Canis lupus familiaris: one gene and its partner. The protein of the gene in region 2 binds, or shares a complex with, the protein of the main gene of each other region. Links are inferred from orthologs where the notes say so. Each region holds a gene or a part of one and is shown on either strand. Other genes may lie near its edges.

Evidence for each region. The genes of interacting proteins can lie anywhere in the genome.
Region 1: the proteins of NAA35 (region 2) and NAA38 are in contact, whole or in part, in a cryo-EM structure (PDB 7MX2), measured with the Homo sapiens proteins. The link is inferred for Canis lupus familiaris from reciprocal best matches to the Homo sapiens genes NAA35 and NAA38. Residues at the interface, in NP_001308810.1 of Homo sapiens: Val30, Asp31, Ile32, Thr33, Phe36, Ala39, Cys40, Leu43, Leu45, Glu47, Leu48, Leu49, His50, Asp51, Phe54, Glu58, Ala59, Ala62, Ile63, Glu64, Met65, Met66, Ala72, Gly73, Met74, Gln306, Arg307, Leu309, Pro310, Pro311; in NP_001307854.1 of Homo sapiens: Ala41, Arg42, Leu45, Glu46, Leu48, Leu49, Arg61, Phe67, Leu68, Cys69, Thr70, Asp71, Arg72, Cys74, Ile77, Arg97, Val98, Leu99, Gly100, Leu101, Ala102, Met103, Val104, Pro105, His108, Ser111, Ile112, Glu113, Val114.

The regions. Positions count from the first base shown.
Region 1 is NC_049226.1:32,918,778-32,922,165, forward strand, and holds NAA38 (N-alpha-acetyltransferase 38, NatC auxiliary subunit), read right to left. Parts: upstream 2,228-3,388; 5' UTR 2,219-2,227; coding exon of another isoform or gene 2,142-2,218; 5' UTR 2,087-2,141; coding exon 2,003-2,086; coding exon of another isoform or gene 1,868-2,002; exon of another isoform or gene 1,223-1,867; coding exon of another isoform or gene 1,142-1,222; exon of another isoform or gene 951-1,141; coding exon 767-950; exon of another isoform or gene 660-766; coding exon 547-659; 3' UTR 501-546; downstream 1-500. Other genes in the region: CYB5D1 (cytochrome b5 domain-containing protein 1), read left to right, coding at 1,868-2,048, 2,142-2,218, 2,336-2,851.
Region 2 is NC_049222.1:74,346,405-74,350,597, forward strand, and holds the start of NAA35 (N-alpha-acetyltransferase 35, NatC auxiliary subunit), read right to left. Parts: upstream 2,801-4,193; coding exon 2,677-2,800; exon of another isoform or gene 2,643-2,676; intron 1,323-2,642; exon of another isoform or gene 1,189-1,322; intron 1-1,188. UniProt on the Homo sapiens protein: Auxillary component of the N-terminal acetyltransferase C (NatC) complex which catalyzes acetylation of N-terminal methionine residues. N-terminal acetylation protects proteins from ubiquitination and degradation by the N-end rule pathway.

The sequences.
Region 1 (3,388 bases), on a different chromosome or scaffold from region 2:
CAGAGGGATTGCACACGTCCTGTCACTCCTGCCTGGTGCCCATAGGCAGGAAACAACACGGGGTGGGGGGCCAGGGCTCCAGAGCGCATCCTTCAGCCTCCCCGCCTCCCTTATCGCGTTAGCCCGTTCTTCCTGGCTAGACCCCAGAGCTCCGTCCCTGACCCTAGAGTCACCTCCCCCTCAATAGAGGCCTCTGTCGCCTGCCCTGCTCCCCCTTGGGGACCCGAGCCCGTTCTCTGACCCCAGCTTGGAGGAACTCGGGTGTTGCCAGGCCGGGAAGGGAAACAATGGGCCTTCCGGAGCAGGATGACACCCCCTCCAGCCACAATTCTGGAGCAGCAGCGTGGGAGGGAAGATGGAGGGGCCCACCCTGGGGCCTGCTGGTCCTTAGTGCATCCCCACCCCCGAACCGGAGGGAGCCTTTGGCTGCCCCACACGGCCAGGTAGGCAAAGGAGAGTTGAGAGTGCTCCCGACATCCCAGCCACACTCGGACACCAGGCACTTCGTTACAGGTTTAATGGTGTGCAAAGCACGCGCGATCGTGTTCAGAGATAGGGAGGCCCCGCCAGGCTCTCCCTCTGCACTTCAATAGAGACGATGTGGTGGCCGGGTACCATGGCCAGGCCCAGGACGCGGGGCTCCCCCGCGGAGAAGGAATCTGCAAAGAAGAGGTCAGAGCATCAGGGAGGTAGGCCAGAGCCGGTCCCGCCCCAGAACACCGGGGGACTCCGCCGCAGTCCCGGGAGGATGTCCTCGGGCACTGACCCGACGGCTTGAGGAACTCCTGCGCCGAGCCCAGGATGACATTGCAGTCGCGGTCGGTGCAGAGGAAGCAGCCGACCAGGGTCCGACCGTCTGTCATGCGAATGCGCATAGTCTTGTTGAGCAGCGCCTCTAGCTGCTGCCGGGCCCGCGCGGCCGGCGAGTCCTCGCGCTCCCCGTCTGAGTCCTGCGCGGGGCGGGACACGCGCTGAGACGGCGCAGCCCCGGCGGCCGCCCTCCCGCGGAACCACAGCTCCCGACAGCCCGCGGGGCGCTCACACGGAGCCCGGGGGCTGCCGGGAGCTGCAGTTCCCCCTCCGTCCCCCCCATCTTGCTCCCCGGCTGGCCCTCGATCCCAGAACCCGAGCCCGCGCTAACCCCGGCGCTGGAGCTGCTTTGACGCCGGCTGCAACAGCCATTCTCTTCTCGTAGCAGCATGGCTGGTCCAGCTCCGGCCATTTGCCCCGGGGCCGGCTCCGGGCCCTTCAACTTCCTAAGAACCTTTTGGGTCCGGTGGTCCGAGATCTCGCGAGTGCTCCCGACCTCTTTTCTTTCGCGAGATCACCTCCCCTCCTCCTCCTGTCTCCTGGGCAACTGCAGAGATCTCGCGAGTTTCTCCCACTGTTCCGGCACTGTGGCTCACTGCGGCCTACGGCGCCGGATGCCTTAAGATATCGCGAGAAGTTTTCCCTCTTTAGGTTCATACAAATCCTTCAGAAATCCTGGCATGTAGCGAGACGATCTTTTCTCGTCATCGCTTTGCACCCCATCGTCCCTTGCTTTTCTGCCTCGCGACACAGTCTGTCCTAAATATCCCCTCCAGCCCAGACCACTCTGAACACGGAGCTTTCGCTTCCCCCCGCCCCCAAACCTCTGCAGGACGCAACTCAGTTTCTTGAAAGCTAGATTCAGACTACGTTTCCCGTGAGCACGGACGGCCCCTCGTCCCGAGTGTTTGATCTCCGTGGACGGTGGCCGGGAAGGGACAATGGTTTCCATGTCAGCGGAGCAACGCGCTCGCTAGGAGGAAAGATGCCGCGCAGGGAGTGAATGAGTGAGTGAGTGAGGGCGTGCTGAGGGGCGACGAAGCAACCAGAGAAGCTGATGGCCGACAGTGCAGGAGCCATGCAGCGCCGGGGCCTCGTGGACGGGCCGGACTTTGAGTTTTTCCAGCGTCGCTATTTTACGCCGGCCGAGGTGGCCGAACACAACCTGCCGGAAGACCTGTGGGTGTCTTACCTGGGATCCGTGTACGACCTGACGCCGTTGGCTCAGGAGCACAAGGGTGAGGGCCGCTCCCTGGACCAGGGGCAGGGCGTGCATGGGAGCGGGGGCGGGCTTGGGCAGCCAGCCCTGACGGCGGCTGCTCCTTCCCCAGGGGACCTGCTGCTAAAACCCATCATAGAAGTTGCGGGCCAGGACATCAGTCACTGGTTTGACCCGAAGACCAGAGACGTGAGCCCTGCCGGACCGCGGGTTGAGGGTGGGGTGGGGGGAGAAGCGGGGGTGGCGGGAGTCGGAGGTGCTGACTGCCCCTCCCCCTTGCAACCCCCTCCCCAACCCTCTTTAAAGATCCGCAAGCACGTAGATCCGCTGACCGGAACGCTGAGATACCGCACCCCCCGGGGCCGCTTTCTGCACGTCCCGCCTCAGCTGCCCCGTTCCGACTGGGCCAACGATTTCGGGAAGCCCTGGTGGCAGGGGACGCGCTACGAGGTGGGGCGGCTGTCGGCCAAGACCCGGAGCATCCGCATCATTAACACGCTCACGTCGCAGGAGCACACGCTGGAGGTGAGAACGGGCGCCTGCGGGCAGGTTGGAGGGAACTGGGGATCCCAGCAAGTCTGCCAGGAGATCTTCGGGCCGTTGGGTCTCCGTAGAAAATGGGAGCAGGATCCCTTCCCTCCCATCTTTAGAGGCGACCGGGGAGGGCGGACCACCTGGAGAGCGGTCTCCAGGGTTGGGACCCTAGTAGTGGCCGGATCACAGGGTACCGAGACTCCTTCATACACCTTAGCCACGGTGGTGGCTTGGAAGCACTTCCAGGCTGTCTTTTGGAGAGCAGTTGCAGCCGGACTCTCTTATTAATAAACTCTGTTAAAGGGATGAGGGGAGGGGGCACTGACTCTGACCCTTTAGGGCCATCTGTTTGTTAAAAGTGGCTGCCCTAGAGACAGGTGACACTTCGGGGTCATTCACTGCGTGCTGGAGCCCCAGCTTCATTTGGGGACCAGAGAAGTGCCTAGAAATGCTATCCACCAAAGAGAGGCTCTCTGTTCTCAGCACTGTCATCTTTTGGGCTCCTGGCTTCAGCGTGGGACATGCACATGATGCATGCACGTGTCCCATCCGAAATCCTGGGGGATGGGGTGCTTTCATGTTCTGCAGGTGGGGGCCCTGGAATCAATGTGGGAAATCCTCCACCGGTATCTCCCTTATAACGCACATGCTGCCAGCTATACATGGAAATACGAAGGGAAGAAACTGAACATGGATTATACCCTGGAAGAGAATGGGATCCGGGATGAGGATGAAGAATTTGATTACCTCAATATGGACGGAACACTCTACATACCTGCCATACTGCTCTACTTCAATGATGACCTCACGGAGCTATAGGGGACG
Region 2 (4,193 bases):
GATGGTTTGAATTAGGCAGTTTCCTAGAGAAGCAAAGCTCAGAAGTGTTAGATAAATGACATGTTACATACCAGGCACAGTAACAGTAATAGCACCATATATTCAAAATAATTTAAGGGGGGAAAAAAAGCCCTCCTACCCCCCAAAAAAGGCCAAGGGCCTCAATGTTGAAAATAGGAAATGTGGAGGGAATGTGTGCCATCTGCCTAACAGGAAATAAAAGAAGTGATGAAATTAGAATTTGGTCCAGAAGACTTCGAAGAGTCACTAAAAGAACAGATAGAAATGTACATGAAAAACACTGTCATCACTATGCAGATTGCTTTCTCGGTACCAAAATAAATAATCCCCAAGGTCTAGTCAAATACCATCGCACTGTTACTGAAGAGGAAAGACCACTGCAACAGTTACAGGGTATAATATTTGTTTTAAATTTAGCCCTCAGAAAGCTGCTGGAGTCTAAGCTAAATTAATGCTATGAATCTGATTTCAAGAAAACAAATTATTAATAATATAGGCTCAAGAGCTCCCAAAAGACTTTAGTCCTAAATCTATATGTAAAGGAAGATCACTTCTACATCAACTTTTTCATTTCAAATATACCTCACATCTGTGCCACTTCAGACCAAGCAAGAGCTAATTATTGAAAAGTTAATAGGATGGTTTGAGGTTGGCAACAAAATGACATGCTCCCCCTCCTCAATCCCCACTGAGACAGGAATAAAACCATATTGCCTATTTAAGGTTCTGCTCATGAGGAAGCAAAATTACTCACTCTCCCTCAAATATCCAACTCTCATGAACTCTGGTGAGAGTAACAGTTCATCTGAGTCTAGAATAATTCCCTCATATTCACTTACAGAAACTCCACCACTCCTCTAAGGCCCAACTCAAGCCATATGAACTTCATAAAGCCTTTTCCATTTAGGTTCAGAACAACAACCCTCTAATATAGATCACTTAAAAATCAGTGCAGGATGACGGGCATAATCCATCAACAGTTTAAGATCTCTGGGCACAGAAATTACACTGTAACTTACACTTCTTTCTCTCTCCCTTGGATAGATGGATATGGGCAATCCCCCAATTTCCAGTCTAATATTCTTTCCACAATTTCACTTTTGCTTTCTTTAAATGGACACGTTTCATAACAAAGGGTCAGTGCACGTGTTATCATTTTGCTTATGCCCAGCTGACTCCCTTACCACCTGCAGCTACTCCGAGTCTCTACTCCTCCTTCTAAGGGCACTATTCTAAACACTCCATCTCATCAACAACGAAGACTTAACCTTCAGTTTAGTAAAAACAGAGAAGCCATCAGGGTGTGTATCCCTCTACCATTCCTCCCCACTCGTTTAGAAATCTACCTGTTTCTTCACCAATCCTAACCTCAGTTCCTCCTGTCTCAGTAATTCCTCATTCTGGTCCCCTAAGTTAATTTCTCTACCATGTTCTTTATCCCATCCTCTCTTCAAATTCAATCTCTCACTCTACCATTTTTTTTTCCAAAAAAATTTTATTTATTTATTTGAGAGCATGAGCAAGAGAGCACAGTGGGGAGGGAGGCACATGGGGAGGGCAGAGGGAAAGGAAGAGGTAGGTTCCTGAAGTGGGGCTTGATCACAGGAACTGAGCAGGAGGCAGCTGCTTAAACAACTGAGCCCCCCAGGCACCCCTCCCACTCTACCATTTGTCTCTTTCCTGTCTCTCCCTAAGACCCATTCTCCTCAGACAACAAATATGCTCACTTCTCTAATCATTTATGCCTTTGCATTTGTTAAACCATTACTATGTTCCAGGCAATGTTCTCTGTGTTAGGCTTACAGACAAAATGTCTGCACTCACAGAGCTTTATGTTCCAGTGGGTAGGGCTGACAGTAAACAAGAAATAACTGAAAGGACAGCTTCTGATAGTATATAAGTATTATAATAAAAAATAAATAAAACAGAGTGATTCAGGTGAGGTAGAGTCGGACAGAAGAGAACAGGGCTAAATCTACTAAATCTACTTAGATTAATTGTTTGGAGACATCCTCCCTGGGGAGCTAGCATTTAACTGGCCAGGAAGGAGCCAGCTATGTGAAGGTAAAGACCTGGAGGCAAAGCAGTTTAAGATACAGAAAAAGAAATATGCAGAGGCCCAAGGGGAAAATGCCCTGGTGAGCTTAATGGCATAGAAAGGACATTGTGACTAACATAATGAGCCTAGTTGGGCAGTGGTACAGAAATGAAGTCAGTGGTAGACAGGCATCAGACCACACAGGCCACGGGGATGGAATATGGATTTTATTCTATATTGAACAGGAAGCCACTACAGGCTCTTAGACAGGAAATAATGTGATCTGATTATTTACAAATCTCAAACATATAATAGTCCACCATCTTTAGGTCAAGACAATTCATGTTTGCACAGTCTGAAATTATTGCCATGTACTCTCTCATCTGTTAAGGCTAGAAAAACTGAAGCAACTGCTTCAACATCTGTATTTCATGCACTATCAAATACTGGCTTTAAATGAAAGTTAAAATTATTAAGAGGGTAAGGAATGAATAAGTGTGGTTAACAAACTTGATAAACCACACTTACCTGTTGCTTACGTTTGAGTCTACAAATCACAAGATTTTATTTTACCTTTTCCCAGGTTGTTAATTTCTAACCCAAGAATTCAAACTCACCTCGACAAGCTTCTTCAAAATCTTGGGTTATGTCCACCCAGCTTGTATTGCTTTTTTCCATCTTTTCTGGTATACTGAGCTCCCATCCTGAATCATCATCTTCTACAGAAGCTTTCATGACCATAATGCCTATAAAATTAACACTGGTGTAAAAGAGATTGTGGCTTTCAGGGCAAGACTATTTGCAAGCCATGTGTGTTCACTCAAGTCCTGGATGGAAGTCTTACTAAACTGCCAGACTTCATCGGAGTTTGATAGTGGCAACTGGGAAATAAAAAAAATAAAAAATAAAATAAAAAAACCTTAACGCAATTAAACCTTACGTTAAAAGCACTGCTGCTTATTTACTAATAGCCGAGCACCTACAAGGGCTTTTAAGAGCTTGCCTTCCCACCATCCAAGGAAAAAAATCAGAAGCCACCCCCCCACCACTGGCCCAAGCAGGATGAACTCCAGAGCTTTCAACTTTGCACACCGGACACAAATGAGGAAGGCACTCTTCAGAGCCGCCTCTCGCAGCCCGGGGCCCACGAGGCAACTATTGAGTCAGGGTGGTCCCTCACGTGCCCGGAGCTCTCCGGGCCCGGCAGGACCCCGCACAGCCTCGCACGGCGGGCACCGAGGGCGGGAGCGCCCCGCAGGGCACCTACTCGCCCGGCCCAGAGCGGCTGCGCACCTGAGGCGGGACCCGCCCCACGACCACCTTCCCCGGGTCAGCCCGGCCGGGCCCGGCGCCGGCCCCGGCCCCACAGGGCGCGGAAGCAAGGACAGAGCTGTCGTCGCGCGGGAGGGCGGGCACGCCCGGTGCCGGGTCGTCGCCCGGGCAACACCGGGCAAGGCCGGGGCCTCGGCGGGCGGCGGGCAGCGGACACCGGAGAGCCTGCAGCTCCTACCTGAAGCGCGGCGGGAGGCCGGGGCCGCAGGGTGACCTGGCGTCCCCAGGGTCCGCCACACGCGCGGGGGGCTGCGGCTCTAGGACGCAGGAGGAAGGGAGAGTCAATGGCTCTGCACCGGCAGTCCCTACCTACTTCTCCCGTGGCCACCCGCGCCGCCACGCACCGTCCAGACCGCGGAAATAACGACGCCGCCTCAGCCGCCTCAGCCGCCGCCGCCGCCGCCGCCGCCCCCTCCCCTCTCAGCCCAGCCCGGCCGCCCCGTGCGCGCATGCGTACGCCCGGTGCGCGCGACCCGCCCCCTCTCCCTCACTCCTGGGGACTTCGCGCGCCCCGGCCACACCCCCTCCCTCACCATTGCCACCGATGGCTGCCGTCTTCTCTTCTCGCGGGATTAGAGCCAATCGCGAGACCGGAAGCTACCTTCCTTCCCCTGCCTCAAGCCTACTCCCGGGTGGTGGGCGGGTCCCGGGGAGGGGTGGAGCTTGGGGGGGGTCTGAGCCCCGCCCCTCCCCGCGCGGCTCCCTGGGAAATTATTAGAAAGGTGACGGTAAGGCGGGAAAGACCCGGGAAAGTCCTTGTAGACCTTGGCAGTTGTGTCCGTGCAAGAAAAGCCTGAGTGTG